Linked DNA regions of Callithrix jacchus. The protein of the gene in region 3 binds, or shares a complex with, the protein of the main gene of each other region. Links are inferred from orthologs where the notes say so. Each region holds a gene or a part of one and is shown on either strand. Other genes may lie near its edges. The genes, in order: CUL3, DYRK2, RBX1, KBTBD4 and KLHL22.

The links.
Region 1: RBX1 (region 3) and CUL3 share a complex: the UniProt entries of both Homo sapiens proteins name them as parts of the BCR(ARMC5) E3 ubiquitin ligase complex. The link is inferred for Callithrix jacchus from reciprocal best matches to the Homo sapiens genes RBX1 and CUL3.
Region 2: RBX1 (region 3) and DYRK2 share a complex: the UniProt entries of both Homo sapiens proteins name them as parts of the E3 ligase complex. The link is inferred for Callithrix jacchus from reciprocal best matches to the Homo sapiens genes RBX1 and DYRK2.
Region 4: RBX1 (region 3) and KBTBD4 share a complex: the UniProt entries of both Homo sapiens proteins name them as parts of the BCR(KBTBD4) E3 ubiquitin ligase complex. The link is inferred for Callithrix jacchus from reciprocal best matches to the Homo sapiens genes RBX1 and KBTBD4.
Region 5: RBX1 (region 3) and KLHL22 share a complex: the UniProt entries of both Homo sapiens proteins name them as parts of the BCR(KLHL22) E3 ubiquitin ligase complex. The link is inferred for Callithrix jacchus from reciprocal best matches to the Homo sapiens genes RBX1 and KLHL22.

What each region holds. Positions count from the first base shown.
Region 1 is NC_133507.1:146,241,657-146,245,265, forward strand, and holds part of CUL3 (cullin-3), read right to left. Parts: intron 1,363-3,609; coding exon 1,134-1,362; intron 1-1,133. UniProt on the Homo sapiens protein: Core component of multiple cullin-RING-based BCR (BTB-CUL3-RBX1) E3 ubiquitin-protein ligase complexes which mediate the ubiquitination and subsequent proteasomal degradation of target proteins.
Region 2 is NC_133510.1:51,480,686-51,484,743, forward strand, and holds the start of DYRK2 (dual specificity tyrosine-phosphorylation-regulated kinase 2), read right to left. Parts: upstream 2,865-4,058; 5' UTR 2,455-2,864; coding exon 2,406-2,454; intron 1,822-2,405; coding exon 1,673-1,821; intron 970-1,672; exon of another isoform or gene 815-969; intron 1-814. UniProt on the Homo sapiens protein: Serine/threonine-protein kinase involved in the regulation of the mitotic cell cycle, cell proliferation, apoptosis, organization of the cytoskeleton and neurite outgrowth. Functions in part via its role in ubiquitin-dependent proteasomal protein degradation.
Region 3 is NC_133502.1:191,768,085-191,772,261, forward strand, and holds the start of RBX1 (E3 ubiquitin-protein ligase RBX1), read left to right. Parts: upstream 1-1,300; 5' UTR 1,301-1,321; coding exon 1,322-1,399; intron 1,400-3,835; coding exon 3,836-3,914; intron 3,915-4,177. UniProt on the Homo sapiens protein: E3 ubiquitin ligase component of multiple cullin-RING-based E3 ubiquitin-protein ligase (CRLs) complexes which mediate the ubiquitination and subsequent proteasomal degradation of target proteins, including proteins involved in cell cycle progression, signal transduction, transcription and transcription-coupled nucleotide excision repair.
Region 4 is NC_133511.1:112,633,256-112,637,371, forward strand, and holds the start of KBTBD4 (kelch repeat and BTB domain-containing protein 4), read right to left. Parts: upstream 2,872-4,116; 5' UTR 2,767-2,871; coding exon 2,103-2,766; intron 540-2,102; exon of another isoform or gene 422-539; intron 1-421. Other genes in the region: NDUFS3 (NADH dehydrogenase [ubiquinone] iron-sulfur protein 3, mitochondrial), read left to right, coding at 3,775-3,838, 3,950-4,012. UniProt on the Homo sapiens protein: Substrate-specific adapter of a BCR (BTB-CUL3-RBX1) E3 ubiquitin ligase complex which targets CoREST corepressor complex components RCOR1, KDM1A/LSD1 and HDAC2 for proteasomal degradation.
Region 5 is NC_133502.1:210,359,190-210,362,798, forward strand, and holds part of KLHL22 (kelch-like protein 22), read right to left. Parts: intron 1,326-3,609; coding exon 1,092-1,325; intron 1-1,091. UniProt on the Homo sapiens protein: Substrate-specific adapter of a BCR (BTB-CUL3-RBX1) E3 ubiquitin ligase complex required for chromosome alignment and localization of PLK1 at kinetochores.

The DNA.
Region 1 (3,609 bases), on a different chromosome or scaffold from region 3:
TACTAGATGACTTCTATTTTTTGCTGTTACAAAAAAGGTTTAATAGAAGAGTCTTTTAAAAAGAAAGCCCCTCTAGCTGAAAAAAATTTTTTAAGTATAACTTTCCAGTAATTTATCATATATACAACAATGTAACAATTTTAAAACACAAGGTAAGGATTCCACTAGAGATAAACATGGCTCAACTTCCCACCAGCTCTTTTTCCCTTCTCTTGTATCCTCCTCCTCGTTATAATTCTCCTTTAAAAACCTTTCTTTATTTTCTCCATAGGTCATGACCCCAAAAGGCAATATATATTTCTTTTACTAAAAGGAAGTGGATAAAATATTGCTGAGATTTCATCTAGGAAGTAGGACAACCATTTTTTTTTTTTTTTTTTTTTTTAATTTCCTAATACCGTATCAGTGGTAAAGGCAAAGTTTTAAAACAAAGCATCAGAAACTAAGAAGGGAGGATATGGTTATTATTCTTTGATTTACAACTTCTTCTAGGATACTTTTCACGATTTTTTTTTAAAACCCCTGGAAAATAAATATTGTGATTTAAAAAATGCTATAGTTTACCTCAAAAGTGTTTTTTGCTTTTATACAATCCTCCTTCTTCCTTTTCCATTCTGTAACTTCAGTGTTCCCCAAACCAATTTAATTTATTTAAACATATCAATAGGGAAGATACAAATATTTTTGCATTTTCAGAACCCTATCATAACTAAATCCCAAAGGAAAGTCTACAGAAATCTTAAGATGGAAATTTAAGATTTTTAAGATAATCACAAAACCACAAGAGAGCCCAAACCCTTTGTTTGGTATACAACAAGTACAGGAACGAATGAGGGGCTCCTTGGCCTCACCAATACTATTACACCTTTTATCTTCTGGGTTAAGAGAAACACAAAATGAGGAGACTTAAACTGAAAGACCAGAAATGCTCAATTAATTAGAAATGTCTAAAATCTTCATTAGTAAGACAGTATCAAGCTTGGAAATCCCATCAGAGTAACAACGGAGAGAAATTAACAACACACACCACAACTTCTTGAAAACTGTTATTATCTGCTTTAATTGTAGGAAAATTTAAAAAATATTGATATGGCAGAATAAGAATTTTATTATTTTCAATAGGTAACACTTACCTTCTGTCTTTCCATTTTTCAACATATGTACTAGCCCAGAATTCTCCATTTCTACTATAGTCTTCATGTGCTTGGAAATGAGTTCCCTCTCAACCACCTTTACAATTGGTTCTTCCGTTGATTTGTCAAGGCAGTGCATCACTCGTTCTATTTCTTCATTAATTCTAGCTTCTACTTTCTTTATATATACTGAAGCACTATTTTCTGCTAAAAATTTCTGGCTTTCCATCTGCAATTTAAAAATGTAGTATTTTTAACATAGAAAAAATGTGGTTTTGCTCTTAGCTGGGTTTCTACAGTGTTTATAACAAATCAGCCTAAGTAAAATAAGTACTATAAGCATTTTGTGTAATTTCTCATTACAAAGATTGATAGTCTGAATTATAACCTTTAAAGGCTTTGGTATGTACATAATACTAAATTAAAACTTTATCTGTAAGCAATGTTTTTCAAACTGTGCCAATGTACTCCAAAAACCAGCAGAAAAAGTAAATACACACCAATGAGGGTCAAAAGTATAGAAGCATCTGACTCCAACAGAATGGGATGTTCTTCTTTTGATTTGTTTAATGTAAAATTATAACCAGAAAGATTCATCATGTTTACCATAAGCTTTGCTGGCATACTGCTAGTTACTAAAGTCTTCCTGCCACCCACTCCCACTCTCAAACGAGTAGACATATACACTAAAGTTTGAGAAATAAGAGCTTTAAAATAACTATTAATATTGTCTGCTAACACAGCTTTACAAAAGTTCCACTAAATTGCAAATGTTACCCCAACTGATTTTAACAGATTTGATAGTAGTTTTAATGGTTATATTGAAGAATTATATACTGGAAGACACGTAGTCAATGTAAGTTACATATAAAATTTCGCAACTATCTCTCACTTTCTTAACAGTTTTAATTCTTGAGATAATCAAGTTCCTAAGAATATACATGTACACGCCAAACTAAAATCTTGCCTCTCTCCACTATTAAAAATAATACATATATGTCTTTATGCATACATACATGTAAGTATCACTGTAGCATAGTTTGGAATCTTGATTTATAAACAATTTTTCTATTAGTATGTTATCTACTGTAATAAAAAAAATGCAAGCTAATGCAAAGATTAGAAATACTGTCAAAAATATCTGCAACTAGTTGACATATTAGAAAATAAAGACCCTTTTCTATATTATAAATTAGTAATTAATAAAGCATGGTCCAGGCTCACCAATGCAGGCCACAAAGGTCTTCCTGATGGGCTATAAAACAATTTGAAGGGGGAGGGGGGAAGGCAGCAAGTCCTTTCTTTCTTTCTTTACGGGTAAGTGATACCAAAATTCACCAAGATCAATTTTTGTCTAACCAATAGCTATCATAAATGACCTAGTGAATTATATTAAGAGTTAAAAATTTTGTATTCATTTATTTTTTAAAAAGCATATTACTGGAATAAACACTTTACCTTTCTATTAAGACATCTGTTTCGGCAACGCTACAAAATTCCTACTGCTAATTGCTCAGAGAGTTACGGTTTTCAGGAAAGATGCCTGGTTACAGTTACCTTATAAATACAGTCTTATGTTTATTGGTCCTCAGTTATTGTTATTATCATCATTTCATTACAAACTAGTACCAGTTTAGCTTTACTTTTAGCAAGTTAATTGGGTTTGGAACACTGTTGTGAATTTCTATCAATAGTACTCATTGGTCTGTAATTTTTTAGTCAACCACCTTTAAGGCAAATATGCACTAAAAAATCATGCATATTCTTATATGTGTTTTATATATACACCCTTATGAGTACTTTGATAAAAGCTTACAGATGAGACTTTGTTGGTGATGTGCTACTATAAATTTATGGTACTTAAGTAATTCATATTAGATACAGTAAAAGGATAAAGAAATTTCTAAGTTTACGGTTTTATAACATACAGTTGACCCTTGAAGAACACAAGTTTGAACTGCACAAGTCAATGAAGTAGATTTTCTTCCTCCCCTGCCACCCCTGAGACAGCAAGACCAAGCCATCCTTCTTCCTCCTCCTCCTCCTCAGCCTACTCAATGTGAAGACAAGGATGAAGACCTGGATGATCCACTTCCATTTAGTGAACAGTAAATTATATTTTATCTTCCATATAATGATCTTAATAACACTTTCTTTTTTCTAGCTTACTTTAATACAATATGCAATACATGTAACATACAAAATATATGCTAATCGATTGTTTATTTTATCCCTAAGGTTTCCAGTCAACACACGCTGTAAGTTTTTGGGGAGTTAAAGGTTTTATGTGGCCTTTCGACTACACAGGGGATCAGCATCCCTATGGCCCACACTGTTCAAGGGTCATCTCTATAATTTTAAAAAACGTGTGTGTAAGTTCAAACTCTTCAATTTGTTATCGATGAGTTGCTTAACCGGAAATGGTCAAAATGTGAGGTAGGTGTGCAGATGGGCGTTTTTTGCATATTCCCCTCCC
Region 2 (4,058 bases), on a different chromosome or scaffold from region 3:
ACAAGTAACTCTGGCAAATGCCACGGCAAAATACAGGCCTCCATTATGAGGTGTACTGAGAAGCACATTCACATCCTTCCTTTTCTGGTACACCACAGGCTCTCCCTCCAGTGGAGACTTGTCGTTTTGTCTAATTTCATTACATGTTTTTCAATTGCAAAGAGGCTCTGATCAAGCAAAGCCCATCCTTACAAAATTGGAATCCACATGTAAACCAAATACTTTTTTCCCAGCTCACACCATGTCATGTGATTACATCAACACATAGAAAAAAACTGGATATTCCATTTTCCAAACTGTCAGATGATCCCAAACAAAAACAAATTCCAAACCCCTAAAATCAACAGCAGTCCCTTAACTAAAATATCACTGTGACAAGAACACTTAACAGTAATACACAGAACCATCCATCCTACTATCATCCACGTCCAACACGGATTAGCTAACTTCTGTGCAATGAATTCCCAGCCCCTGAGACCAGATGTGTTAAGATAGACAGAGAGGGAAGAGGTAAAATAGTAACAGTAACAAAACATTTTCCTATGAAACTTGCACACATCTGTCCAGGTCTAACAGGTGCAACTAGAGTCTAGACATCCCCTCACAGTTCTCCTCTGACAAACAAGTTTTCCCATAACATATGATTCCCCAGAGCTACTCCCCTGTAGGCCGGGGATGGCCTTTTCTTCAAGAACTCAACTTTCACTTGGCATATAAAACCAATCGCTAGCTAGCAAGCATTCCTCACATAGACCCATCTTAGGCTGTTCCTCTGGAAGATCCCATTGGAAAAAAAAGACCTCCAAACCAGCACCTCCTCCAAGCGCAGACCTCCTCCAGTCTGGCCATCACCATCCAAGGGTGATCCCTGGGAGCTGAGAAAAGGTACATGCTGAATCCAGCTGGCCAGTCTCCGCAGCCACCAGAAACTAGTCCCACGCCGGCCTCTTCCCTCCCTCTGGGCCCTCTGAGAGCACAGCACCTGTTAGGTGCCTTTTCCTTCCCATCTCCAAAGCAATGCTTGCCCTTTCATTTTGAATAATGTCCAACTGCAGAATCCTACAGGGGTGTCTTGTTTTGACTGCTGCCGCGGCTCTTATTTTTGTTAACGTTAATTACAATTTCTGCTGTGCTCAAACCTGTAGCACTCATAAAACATGCTTACACACGCGGGGGACAATTGGCGATGCTCCCTGCTGGTTGGAGCCAGGCCTGGGAGGCTCTTTGGGGGATCGATTTTCCGGGCAAGCCGGTCTGGCTGTCCCCTAACACGTATCTGTTTCTATAAATACCCACTACCCATGGGGATGTGGGGGAAGGACAGGGATGTTTACCGGGTCAGGGAAGGGAGCACTGAGAAGCAAGGACGAAAAATGAGGAAAGACAGAAGGAAAGCAGCAAGGAGGAAGTTCCTAGGAAGAGGAGCTCAGGGGTGGGCGGGCTCCGGAGGGGAAGTGAGGGGCCCACGCCACGAATCTTCCTTTGTGGCTGCAGCTTTGGGCTCGCCCAAGTTCACCACGGCGGCGTCGAGAAGAGGCCACCGGCCCGGGGCGTGGGGCTGCTCGGATCTCGACCCCTCTTTTCCCGGCCTCAGAACCCTCCAAGTCCGGGTGCGTCTGCCTGGGGCCCCTCCCGCCCCCACCGCCCAGGCCGCCCGCGGGCTGGGTCTCACCGTGTGGGCTGCGGCGGCAGCGTTGCTGGCCCGGAGAGGCGGCAGGGCGATGGGGGAGGGCGGGCCGGTCCCCACTCCGCTCCGGGTGGCCCCCGCACCGAGCCCCGGGGAAGCCTGAAGCTGGCGAACGGCGCTGTCCCCTCCTCGGCCTGGAAGCCACGTGCGGGAGGAGACAAAAGAGGGTCAGGGGGGAGACAGTCACCCGGACCCTCCCACCCCACTGGGCAGCCACACCGCTCTTCCAGGGAAAGACGAAGGAAGAGACCGGGGCAGTAAAAACGGGCGTTCGGGTCACGGCTCCCCAGTGCACACCCACGGGCGGGGCGCCGGCAGCTGCAAAGTTAGGTCAGGCCCTGGCGCGCGAGTTCGCGACCCGGTGGGGGAGCCGGGCCGCGCTGGGGCTTGCTGGCCCTCCTTCCAGGCGGCCAGCGGCCGGGAGGTGGCTTGGACAGCTGAGCAGGGCGCCACGGCCACGCCAAGCCCCGGGCAGCGCAGGGCGGGGCGTCAGGCTTGGACAGTCCCCGCCTGGGCTCCCGGCGGGCAGAAGCCAGGTCCGGCGTTGGGTTCCCCTCGGAGGGGCCTTGGGGGCTGCGCGCGACGTCCGCCCGGGGGCTCCCCCGCGCCGTGCGGCCGACTTTGTTAGAGGTCCTGCAGGCTGCGGCCGCCAGCGCCACAGGGGCTGCCCGGGGCCGGCGGGAGTCCGGGGAGCGGCGTGGGGGCACGGCCTCCTTACCAGTCGGGTAGGCGGCGGGAGCGGCGGCCGAAGGTTTCCTGGTTAACATGGCCGCTGGAGAGGAAAATGCATCTCAGGGCTGCCGTCGCTGCCGCCGGTCCTGCTGCTACTTCTGGCGGCCACCGCCGTCTCCCGGCCGCCCCTCACGCGGGTCCCCGGCGCCTCGTCGCCGCCTCGCGTCTGCTACAGCCAGACACACACAGTCCGCTGCATCCCCTCGGCCCGGGCCCGCCGCCGCGAGCCCCCCGCTCTCCTCCTCGCCGCCGTCCTCCTCTTCCTCGGGCGGCCGCAGCACCCTCCGGGCCGTGCACATGCCTCGCCCTCCCCTGCGCGCCGCGGGCCTCCCCGTCTCCCTCACATAGGAGCGCGGGGAGCTGGAAGCGCCGCAAGGACCGAAGACCGACTCGCTGGGGAGCCTCTCACCGGCCCGCGCGCGCGCGCCCCCGCGCACTCACACACAGGCGCGGGCGCGCGGCCCCGCCCCCGCCGCCCTCGCCGCCGCCGCAGGCCCCGCCCCCGGCTCCGGGGGCCCCGGCCACGCACACCCCACCCCCACCCGGCCTCCCGCCTGGCCCCGCCCGGCCCCTCCCCGCCCCCGGATCTCGCTCGGTCGCCCCTCTACTCCGCGGAAAACTCCGCGGCCTCCGCTCGCCTCCTCGGACCATCTGCACCGCTCCCCTCGACTCCCCTCCGGCGACCTTTTCCCCTCCCTGGCCCCCGCGGCGCCCCTCCTCTGCCCTACAGCGCAACCTACCGCTGCTGCCCTTCGGCCCAAAGCGCCGCAGTGACCCCTCCCCTGCCACGCGCGCCCCTGAACAGGAATGCATTTTCAGCTCTTCGAACCGAATGGCTGCTCAGACAATACTGCGTCCCCGTCCCCCCATTCTGAGTCCAGCCGCTTAACCACTCCCCTCTCCCCAATTCATCGCAGATAACTTAGTTGTGCCGGGGTCACCCCGGAGAATCAAGCCCCGGGAGGGGCCGCCGCTGAGCTCGGTGACCCTGAGCAGGGGCGAAAGAGGGTCTGCCCTCCCACCTCCACCACACACACTCTCCCGGGTTTACTGACACCAAGTGACCGCTTGCCAGTCGCTAGGACATGAGGAGGCAGAGGCGCGTGTGGACGGCAGCTGGGGAAGCAGTTGGCTGTGGGTTGCTAGGCAAAAATAAACATCAGAGACACCTCCCATTTCCTTACAACTCCGAGCCTTTCCCCTGCGCCGCCACTGGGAGAGACACATTTTCCTTTCAGCTTTCAGCTTTGAGGGAGCGACACCTCGAATTCTTCTCATCCCCTCACATGCATCTCTTTCCTCCTTTCCTTCCAAGACCGGTGGAAAATTCCCCTGCCTTTTTAATTTGCCATCTGCAACCTGTCTTTTCCTTGGAGACCAAAAAAAGCTGCTTTCCCTTCTTGCAACCGCGCCTCGTCCTGCGTGGCACACGGTGCGCCTCTGTACAAAGGTCACACAGGTTTTGCCACTTCAACAGTGAGGGGAGGGAGCTGGGAAAGCCCGACAAATCCCGGATGACTGGGCAGAGTTATGCCATGCACTTCCTTCTCGAGAGGTGCCTGGTTTCTGAGTTATCCTGGGGTCACAGGACCATTATGATCTGCCCCGCCCGACTGTCTCTGGCTGGACCTACTGTGCA
Region 3 (4,177 bases):
CCTCAGCCTCCTGAGTAGCTGGCACTACAGGCGCATGCCACCACACCTGGCTAATTTTTCTATTTTTTGTAGAGATGGGGTTTTGCCATGTTGGCCAGGCTGGTCTCGAACTCCTGACCTCATGTGATCCATCCACCCGCCTCAGCCTCCCAAAGTGCTGAGATTACAGGCATGTGCCACCATGCCTCTAAGAGTGATCTGGCAGTCACACCTCTGCAAGGTTAGAGATGTCAAAGGGAGTCCTGGTCTAGGCAGAAATGGGAGAGTGACACGAAGTACAGGTGCTTGTGCCGGGCGTGGTGGCGTACTCCTGTGAGTACTCACTGTGGGAGGCCGAAGTGTGAGGATCGCCTGAGACCAAGAGTTCGAGGCCAGCCAGGGCAACATAGTGAGACATTGTCTCCATTAAAAAAAAAAAAAGATCAGAATGCCTCACAAAATTCAAGAAATACAGTGACTTCAAGTGGGTTGGTTTCATTATAGCTCAAGCAGCAGACAGAGGACACGGACCGGGAAGAAATCACCCCACGCAGATGACAACTGAGGAAGGGGGAGTGGGGACTGACACGCTATAGTGAAGCCGGGCACCCCAACCAAAGGCGGTCCTAGGACTGCGACTAGGCGGGCGCAGAGGCCACCCCCCAGGCTTCGCGGGCGGGTGAGGGCAGGGCTGGGGGCCTGCTCAGTCTGGCCTTGAGGAGGGCCTTCTGAGGTCTCCCTTCTTCCCATCGAATCCCCGAGCAGTTCCCAAACAGAAATCGGAGACCAGACGGTGCCTGCGCTCCAGCCCTCTCAGGAGGACTGCACCTCGGGCCTGGCTACGAGGCGGGTCAGAGTCTGCGAAAGACCAGCGAGGGCTCTCGGGTTCTGGGGTAGGCGGCGGGTACCCACCCCCGCGCCTTCCCCAGCCCGCACTGGGAGCTGCGCGGCGACCCGGAGAGCCCGACAAGCCGGGTAGGGCTGCGGCGCAGGTCGTGCTCATGCGGAGGAAACAGCCGCCGCCCCAGCTGACGGAGTGTGGTCGGGGGCTTCCCAGAAGAGGCGGCGAGAGCAAACCCTTTCGAACATTTCCACCAGGCTAGCTCACGTAGCCTCGGCCCCGCCCCAGCCACTCCCGCCACCGCCCCCACCGGCCGACACGACGCGGGTGGGGCAATCTGCGCCAGCCCCTTTAAGAGGCGTGGTGACGTGCTCCGCCCCCACCTGCCTCTCGCGCGCCAATAAGGGGTGGGGTGTGGGAGGAGGTGCCGGGAGGCGGGGGAGTGAGGCGTGCACAGTTGCGCAGGCGCGGTGGTCGGACGACAGATCTTGTATTTCCAAAATGGCGGCAGCGATGGATGTGGATACCCCGAGCGGCACCAACAGCGGCGCGGGCAAGAAGCGCTTTGAAGTGAAAAAGGTTGGGTCTCGCCAGCACCTTCCTCAGGGAAGCTAGAGAGGCGCGGATCTGGCTGGCAGGCCCCAGGATGGTCGAGGCGCGGAGTAAAGGGTTTCATTTCAGGGCGTTCCTGGGACCGGGTACCACGAAAGGAAGCCGGGGGGCGGGTCTTAGAGTTGATCGGCGTGACGGTGGCCCACTGTCAGGGACGTGTTGGTTTCGCTGTGAGGCTGAGGGGCCAATCACGGAGCTGCTTATTGAGATACGCGGGGTTGCGATTTGGCGGCAGGAGCCAAGCGCTTGAGCTGTCACTGGAGTGGTCGAGGTGGGGGAAGGACAGGGTGGGGTAGGGTGGGTGAAATGGGGAGTCGGAGTGACTGCGGCGGTGGAGGATGGGGCAGTGCGGCGAAAGCTGGGAACAATCTGAGGTCGTACTGCATTGGAGGCCTCTGAGGGACCCCGCTGGTGATCTTGCCCCGCCCCTTTTTGAAGCTTGGGGTCCTCTCACTTTGAGGAATCCAGACTTGGTGCTCGCCGAACCGAGGCCTCCATTAACCCCATCTCTGGGCCTCACACCGTCTAAAGAGTCTGGAGTGTAGTGCTTGGCTCTTCTGAGACGTCTGTTGTCTTTTCACATAACCATCTCAGTCCTGGGTTCTCTGTCACGTCCAGAATCTCCCCCTTCCAAAATAAAAATAAAAAGCATGGTGGCATTTGTTAAGAAAATCCGAGCCCAAATCCTGTGGCATTTAGGGAGGGTTGAGTACTAGTCGTGAATGACTTGGTAAGAGTGGAAAAGCAAAAATGGAACGTGTCTTTTTATATGAAATGCCTTTTAGTGGTTTGCCACAGTTTGGGGGACAGTGTCGATTCCCACCTAACATGAAAGCTGTTCAAAATGGAGATTCTGAAATAGGGAAGATATTCCTGGAACATCTGGTTAAACACTGACATATCCCCCCTCCTAGTGCTTTTTGGTGTCTCATTGTGGCCACTGCTGCTCAGTTACAGCCAGCAGCCATATTGAAGAATAATAGAAGAGGGGCTTTTCCTCCAAGTTGAAACTGTGATGTGAAAAGTGGGAAAGAAGTTATAAGGCACTGAGAATGGGGTCTGAAAGTGATGAAGGTTTGGCAGTATTCGTAACTGAGGAAGCCAGAGTGGAATAACTGAAATGCCACTTTTAGTTAAACTCTTACTGGAATTATCTCAATACAAGACATAAAAGTTGGGAACATCTGTTTATTTTATGGTAAGAATCAAACAAAATTCTAGTGAATTCTAGAATTTGTTATAAAGTAATCTTCTAAGATTTAAGTGATGACCTTGGTCTGTGTACTGACACGGGTACTTAATTATCCAGCTTATCCCATGATTATCCATTTTATGGTCCCATGATCATCTTAGTTCATTCTGTTCCCTAGCTTTCACCTCACTGCTCATGCTTCCGGAGCTTCCTGGAAGAGCAGATACTCACTCAGATTTTGAGCTCTTCTGCAACTGCCACAAAAACCTGCACAGTAATTCAAGTTTGTGTTTATTAAGCCTACAACGGGCAGTTAAAAATTGTTCCTAATTTGTTTACATTGATACGGCTGACAATTATTTTATTTCATTTTTTTGAGGCAGAGTCACCCTTTTGCCCAGGCTGGAGTAAAGTGGCACCAATGTCAGCTCATTGCAACCTCTGCCCCCGAGGTTCAAGCAGTTCTGCCTCGGCCTGCCGAGTAGCTGGGATTATAGTCAACTGCCACCATGCCCAGCTAAGTTTTGTATTTTTACTAGAGATGAGGTTTTGCCATGTTGGCCAGGCTTGTCTCAAATTCCTGACCTCAGGTGATCCCCTCGCCTCGGCCTCCCAAAGTGCTAGGATTATAGGTACAAGCCACTGTGCCTGGCCACTAACTAAATTGTTTTATTTTATTTTATTTTGAGATGGAGTTGTGCTGTTGTTACCCAGCTTGGAGTGCAATGGCACGATCTCGGCTCACTGCAACCTCCGCCTTCTGGGTTCAAGCAATTCTGCCTCAGCCTCCCGAGTAGCTGGGACATCAGGTGCGCACTACCGTGCCCAGCTAATTTTTGTATTTTTAGTAGAGACAGGGTTTCACCTCGTTGACCAGGATGGTCTCGATCTCTTGACCTTGTGATCCACCCGCCTCAGCCTCCCAAAGTGCTAGGATTATAGGCGTGCTCCTGGCCAAAGTATTTTAAACTATAAGAAACAAAAGATGACTCATTAATTTCTGTGTTGACATACGCAGCCTTTTGGAGAATGGGAGAACATACGTGTAGTCTACCGTTGTCCTTTGATATAATAAGAATAATGTAATATCCAGAAACTTGTGTTTGGTGGTTCCCCATGGCCGAAGAGGTGGTAACTGCAGCTGCAGCATGAAGTCGTAAAGAGTGTGTGTTACAAGGAGAATGCATTGTTCCCTCTTTTTGTCTTTGCAGTGGAATGCAGTAGCCCTCTGGGCCTGGGATATTGTGGTTGATAACTGTGCCATCTGCAGGAACCACATTATGGATCTTTGTAAGTAATTGGAGGAGGATGGGAGAAAGTTGAGAAGGTTACAGAGATTGTGGCTATCTTGATGTGACCAATTTTCTTCTTCACAAGGAGATAGAAGCCTATGCTGAGCACTCGGTCTTCTGTATCTAATCTGTTGATGTGTTGGAAATAGAGTAGTTTTTTTATGATGTCCTGGAAGCATACCCAGCTCTCAGAATAAATCTACTCAATCTAAAGATGGCAGGGACACATTTAGAATGAATTGTGGACAACAGGCACTATTG
Region 4 (4,116 bases), on a different chromosome or scaffold from region 3:
ATTCAGAGTAAGGGACTTTAAAGATGTGAACCACTTTATTAGACTACCACTGGGCATGCATATATATATATATATACACACACACACACACATACATGAAATTAGCCTAAAATTGCCTTTTTTTTTTTTTGAGGCAGGGTCTCACCCTGTCACTCAGGCAGGAGTGCAATCATGGTCATCATAGCCTCAACCTCCCAGGCTCAAGCAATCTTGCTTCAGCCTCCCAAGTAGCTGCGACTACAGGTGCATGCCACCAGGCCTGGCTATTTTCTTATTTTCTGTAGAGACAAGGTCTCACTATGTTGTCCAGGCTGATCTTAAACTCCTGGTATCAAGCGATCCTCCCTCCTTAGCCTTCCAAAGTGCTGAGATTACAGGCATGAGCCACTATGCCTGGTGTGCCTTTCCTTTTTTTAAAGATTGTCTCAGGTGTTTTATGAGGCCTCAAAAAATTGGGTAAAGACTCATAACTGTTCCTTTCCATGGAAATCTTTAGTAAAAGGCAAAAGATTTATACAATCTGGCTGGGCGCGGTGGTTCAAGCCTGTAATCCCAGCACTTTGGGAGGCTGAGGCGGGTGGATCACAAGGTCAAGAGATTGAGACCATCCTGGTCAAAATGGTGAAACCCCGTCTCTACTAAAAATACAAAAAATTAGCTGGGCATGGTGGCGCATGCCTGTAATCCCAGCTACTCAGGAAGCCGAGGCAGGAGAATTGCCTGAACCCAGGAGGCGGAGGTTGCAGTGAGCCGAGATCGTGCCATTGCACTCCAGCCTGGGTAACAAGAGCGAAACTCCGTCTCAAAAAAAAAAAAAAGATTTATACAATCTGAAGAGAAACCAGAGTATGTACCCTGTTTTTTAAAATCAAAATAGATGGCTTGATATGCTCCCATCTGCCATGGAAGCAACCTAGCAGGCTGTAGACCTCACACTTTTCTTTTTTTTTTTTTTTTTGGAGATGGAGTTTCACTCTGTCGCCCAGGCTGGATTGCAATGGCGCGATCTCGGCTCACTGCAACCTCCACCTCCCAGGTTCAAGCAATTCTCCTGCCTCAGCCTGCTGAGTATCTGGGATTCCAGGCATGCACCATCATGCCCAGCTAATTTTTTTGTATTTTTAGTATTGGCAGGTTTCACCATGTTGGTCAGGGTGGTCTTGAACTCCCAATCTCAGGTGATCTGCCCCCCTCAGCCTCCCAAATTGCTGGGATTATAGGCATGAGCCACTGCGCCTGACCACTTTTATTTTTTTTTTTTGAGACAGAGTCTTGTTCTGTTGCCCAGGCTGGAGTGCAGTGGGGCAGTCTGGGCTCACTACAACCTCTGTCTCCGGGTTCAAGTGATTGCCCACGCCTGGCTGAGCTCACACCTTAAATATGGTTGTATCTCACTTGCTGGATCAGGATTATTTCCTATTTTTAGCCCATCACTAAAAAAGTTTTTAGGCCGGGCTCAGTGGGCTCATGCCTATAATCCCAACACTTGGAAGCCGAGGTGGGTTCTTGGCACTTGAGGTCTGGAGTTTGGGACCAGCCTGACCAACATGGAAAAACCCTGTCTCTACTAAAAATACAAAACTAGCCAGATGTGGTGGCACATGCCTGTAATCCCAGCTACTTGGGAGGTTGAGGCAGGAGAATTGCTTGAACCCAGGAGGTGGGGGTTGCAGTGAGCTGAGATCACGCCAGTGCACTCCAACCTGGGCAACAAGAGCTGAACTCTGCCTCAAAAAAAAAAAAAAAAAGTTTTTAGTCTTAGATATTTTGCCTCATCACCAATTTACATAGGTAAGTGGACCCAGAGGGACATGCAAAGTACAGGAGTAAGTAGAGTATAATACAAATTACTCCTCACTACTTTGTGTGTGGTCAAGTGTTGTGCTTTCAGTTTCCTGGCTTCTTCCTCTAACACTGTCTCTGACATCAATTACAGTGAATCCCAACTCAATCTCTCTGGGCAAGTTATCTCAGTAAGAATGTAGGAATAATAATGTAAACTAACACCAGGAAGTTTGATGGTTTCTTTCTCCTAGACTAGAACATTCACTAAACATCATAGCCAAGTGACTGGGTATGATGTGTCCCTTCCCTAAACTTACCCGAGATGATATCTGTAAGTAGGTGGTGGGGCAAGTGGAGAAATTCCTCTGTATTCTGCAGCTGGGCCAGGTGGGTCTTGGCACAGTGTTTGGCAGCAGTATAGAGCTCAGGATCACTGTGCCGATCTGCCAGCCACATCACCTGAAGGCAGTTTCCCACTTGCACTGTGCGGGCCAAAAACCGAGAGCATTCCTCAAAAAGAGATGTCAGCTGATACATGTCTGACACCTCATAAATTTCCTGTAACTCTTCAGCTCGAAGTTTCACAGTCCCATGGTAGATATAATCAACCAGGAGCTGGAAAACAGACTCGCTGACATCCTGCAGCACAATCACTCGGTTGTGGGCCTCCTTCAGGTTGGAAGTGAACATAGATCGAAAGAAGCAGCTCTGAGCTGAGAGGACCAGCCGATGGAGCTGAAACTCCCGACCTTCCACCGAAATGGTGACATCAGCAAAGAGCTCCTCCTCTAGACATAGTTTCATGATGCCTTGAGCCACACGGCCTGAGTGTGACCGATCTTTGAACGTGTAGTTCACAAAGTAGTTTTCATCCATGGATGCTCCAGGCTCCTCTGGTGATTCCATGCTAGCCAATTTCTCTCTCTGCCAGCTGTCTGCAAAGCAACACCACCTTGAGTAACTTGAGGAATTCACAGCCATAGTCTGTGAATCCAACTGGCCAACTCAGTAAGGGAAAAGGAAAAAGTAAGAACAAAGTGGGTCCAGATTGCCCTTAGTCCTGGCCCTGCCCATGATGTCCCTGATGCTATCCTTTAACCAGAGCTGGGTTCATTCTCTCCAGTGGTGTCCCTCCGCTAACGAAATAAATCAAAGTTCCAACTCTGGGTGTTTTCCTGAAAAAACACGGAATAATTCCTTTCCGTGATGTTAACAAAGGACTTGGGATTTAGGTCAATATATGACAGCAAAGGGCTGGGGAAGGTCTGTGAACGTAAAAGCCTAACCAAATAACTGGGGCATAGAACTGGTGAAGCTCAGGGTCAGTAGAATCAGACAAAAAGGACTCCCTGCCCCGGCTTAGTGGCCAGGTCCTCTCTTGCCCCGCGCATGGAGTTCAGACGCTCCAATATGAGGCCTAATCTGGGATATCCGTCGGTCTCACATTTGCTCTCTTCTGGGCTGCTTCCCCTACACTTTCCTGCTCGCTCGAATGACTCCCTGTGGCTGCGTCCCAGAACTCCAGAGTCCAGCCGCCCCCAGGCCGGGGCACTAGGAGGCCCATCGCCCAGTTGTCCCCGCTCCACCTAAAGTCGCCTGGGAAACGGTCGCCAGGGAAACCGTTCTTACTGCTCAGGCCCGCCAGCCCTCGTCAAAAGCTTGGCTCAGAGACCGGGGGAGGAGTGTGGAGCGTAGAACTTAGAAAGCCCGGCCCCTCCCATCCTCTCACCCGTCTGGTTCTTCAGCATCCTCGCCTTCTCTCCAGGCTCTGCCACACGGAGCTAGGACTACGCTCACCCCACGGTTCCCCTACCTGCCTGTCTCGCTTTCTCACCTGCGTTCCCTCCTTTCATCCCGGATCCCGGAACCTCTGCTTCCGGCTCCACGTCCGCCCGGAAGAAGATCTGCTGCACATTTCCGCTTCCGGTCCGTGCCCTTGCGGCTTCGTGTCCTGCGGTCTTGTCTTCCGCTGCCTTGTGTCCGGGGAACATGGCGACGTTGGCAACCAGATTTTGGTGGCGCGGGATCGTGGGGGCCGCGGCGCTGACCAGAGGTGAGCAGGGGCAGCCAGCTGAGACCAGGGTCAGGAGCAGCGGCGCGCCCAGCGGAGAGAGCTCCTTAGGCCTCACCCCGTGCTTTTGTGCCTTTTAATCTCCCTGTGCAGGGGCTGGGCGACCCTTGGTTCTGCTGCCGGTGAGGCGTGAGAGTGCCGGGGCCGACACGCGCCGTGAGTATGTGCGGGCAGCGCTCTTCTTTGAACTACTGGCGGGGGGCTCTAGATGCCTGTCCTTGCCCTAGGATGCCCTTCCCTGCGTCCTCCTGGCAAATCTT
Region 5 (3,609 bases), about 19 Mb from region 3:
AGCTGGGTACAGTGCATACATGGTCAATACCGAAAATGATCATACTGAAAAGTAGTGCTGCAGGGCCTGATTATGAATGTTTTTCCTCATCTCATTCTTTTTTTTTTTTTTTTTTTTTTTTGGAGACAAAGTCTTGCTCTGTCGCCCAAGCTAGAGTGCAGTGGCGTCATCTTGGCTTACTGCAACCTTCACCTCCCGGGTTCCAGCAATTCTCCTGCCTCAGCCTCCAGAATAGCTAGGATTACAGGTACCTGCTACCACATCTGGCTAATTTTCATATTTTTGGTAGAGACAAGGTTTCACCATCTTGGCCAGGCTGGTCTCGAACTCTAGACCTTGTGATCCACCTACCTCAGCCTCCCAACGTGTTGAGATAACAGGCGTGAGGCACTGCGCCCAGACACCTTTCTCTATTTTTTAAAGTTCCTGCAGTGTGGTTACCTTAACTTTATAATCAAAGTTTGTTTTTTTTTTTTTTTAATAGAGACAGGGTCTCATTCTGTCACCTAGGCTGGGGAGCAGTGGTGTGATCATAGCTCAATGTAGGCTTAAACAATCCTCCCACCTCAGCCCCCCGAGTAACTGGGACTACAGGTTTGTGCCATCATGCCTCGGCCTAAAGCCCAGGCTGGAATGCAGTGGCATGATCTCAGCTTATTGCAACCTCTGACCTGGGCTCAAGCCATCCTCCAACCTCAGCCTCCCAAGTAGCTGAGATTATAGGCCTGCGCCACCACATCCGGCCTAAAAGTTTTTGATAATAATAAGAAAAGGTAGAAGTGTATGTGTATGATACTGTCACGGTGACATTTGTCCAAACTTACAGAATGTGCCAAAAGTGATGCAGTCTCAACAACTGTGAGACATCCCTCACCTCTGGAGTGAGAGATCTGCAGTGGGGAGGCTGTAAGTGTATGGGGGAAAAGGGGGTGTATGGAAACTGTACCTTCCACTTAATTTTGCTGTGAACCTGTAACTGCTCTGAAAAAGTCTATTTTAAAAAGGCACATATTGCAATCATATTTTCCATCCACAGCAACTGAGATGGTTGGGAACGATGATGGGTGTGGACAGCCCCAGGCCCCACTCACTTGGTGCACATCCCTCCTGTAGCCAGCATCGTTGTTGCTGCCCCCGATCACATACAGCTTGTTGAAAAGGGTCGCCATGCCGTGCCAGGCGCGCCGCACAGGCCCATCAGCCAGTGTGTGCCAAGTGTTGCTGCCTGGATCGTAGCAGTGTGTTTCTTTCAGGTAGTCCTCCCCTCTGCGGCCGCAGGTGATATACATCTTCCCCTCCAGCGTCGCACCAGCGTGAGCATACACCTGTGTGGAGCCACCAGAACTGCTGTGAGAGAGCAGTGAGGAAAGGTGACTGGGTAGACTCTGTCAAGGCCACTCACCACTCCACACCTGCCTGACAATGCTGTGAGGCTTCACCACTTCTCAGTTCCTCCTCACATGCAGACGAGAATGTTCCCTCGATTCTCACTGGACATACTGTCCTAGTCACTGACCTCTAACCTCTTCCAATAGGGGATGTATCTGTAGACTCAGAGATCAAATGTAACCTTTGTCTTTCCTTTGCCCCTAAAGTTAATACCTTACATGGGGAAACTCCAAAAAAATAAAAGCACGTTTTTCAAGTCAGTCTGGGTGAAGCCACAGAACGCTGAGGACTGCTGACCTGCCCTCAGTGGCCTCCACCCCTCCCCCACTCCCACTGACCATGCAATCCTCCTGGCCTGCTGAACCTGCTTTCAAAACCTGTTTGGAAATAACATCTACTGACTCATGATGTGGGGAGAAAAATAACACAGGTCTTGATTCTGGTCCTGAGCATTCTGTGGGCTTTTTACTCCCTCTGGTGGGCTATCTCTATAGGGCGCAGCCTGCCCCCCTCATGGGCACCCCTCACCCTACCCTACCACTTTCAGAACCCACCCACTCACACCCAGCAGGCCAACAGAAGGCCCCAAGGCAAGACTGTAAGTGTTTTGAGGTAGAGGAGACCCTCAGGGTGTGGAGGCTGCAGAATTATGTCACCAGGCAGGTCAGTAACACCAAGGCTATGCGGGTGGCAAAACAAGAGGCTAGAGAGCTGAACAGAGCAGTGGGAAGGAAGAACACACATCAAGGGTTTGGTTTGGGTTTTCTCCTATCACTGGTAGGGGTCTGGGAGGTTTTTCTTTTTAATTAAACTTTGCATTCTGAAATAAGTGTAGAGTAACAAGTAGTTGGAAGTAATAATACAGAGGTCTCATGTGCCCTCTTTCCCCAATGGTAAGAGCCTGTGTTACTGTTATCAGTGTCACCAGGATGCTGACATGAACACAGCCACAGAGCTGTTCTACCACCAACAGGATCCCAAGGGGCCACCCTTTAGGGTAACACCCACTTACTTCCCTTTCCCTAATCCCCTCCTTGAACCCAGGAAACCACCAATCACTTCTCTATTTCTACAATTTTTGTAACTTCAAGGGTGTTGGCTGAATTAAATCAGTATACAATCTTTCAACACTGGCTTTCTACCACAACCCAGGTTCCACCGGGTTGGGGCATGTACAGGTTGAGTACATCCAAAGTCTGAGACTTTTTGAACACAAACATGGTACTCAAAGGAAATGCTTGTTGGAAGCAATTCAGACTTTTGGACAAGGAATGCTGAACCAGTTAACTGTAATGCAAAGATTCAAAATTTCAGATAATCGGTATTGAATATGCACCAACAGTTCCCTTTTTATTGCTGAGTAGTATTCCATGTGTATGTACCATGGCTTGTTTAACCACTCACTTCTGGAAACATCTGGTTTGTTTCCAGTGTCTGCCCACTACCAATAAAGTGACTATTAACATTCATGTACAGGTACTTTTTGTTGTTAGTTTTGGAAACAGGTTTTTGATCTATTGCCCATGCTGGAGTATGGTGGCACAATCTTGACTCACTGCAACCTCTGCCTCCCAGGTTCAAGCAATTCTCGTGCCTCAGCCTCCTGAGTAGCTGGGATTACAGGCACGTATCACCATGCCCAGCTAATGTGTACAGAATAGTTTTCATTTCTCTGGGATAAATACCCAGGATGGCAACTGCTGGGTCACATGATAGTTGGAAGAAACTGCCAGACCTGTTTTCCAGAGTGGCTATACCATCTCACATTCCCATCAGCAATGCATGAGCATAGTTTCCCTGCATAGTCACCAACCAGTATTTCGTATTGTCACTGCTTTTTATTTTAGCCATCATGAGGTAGTTCTCTCACTATGGCTTTAATTTACATTTCCCAGGCCGGACACAGTGGCTCACCTGAGGTCAGGAGTTTGAGAGCAGCCTGTCTCTACTAAAAATACAAAAATTAGCCAGGTGTGGTGGCACGTGCCTGCAGTCCCAGCTACTTAGGAGGCAGAGGCAGGAGAATCGCCGCTTGAACCCAGGAGGCAGAGCAGTGAGCCAAGCTCGCACCACTGCACTCCAGCGTGGGTGACAGAGTAAGGCTCCATCTCAATAAAAAAAATAAAAATAAGCCGGTCTCAGTGGCTCACACCTGTAATCCCAGCACTTTGGGAGGCCGAGGAGGATGGATCACGAGGTCAAGAGATCGAGACCATCCTG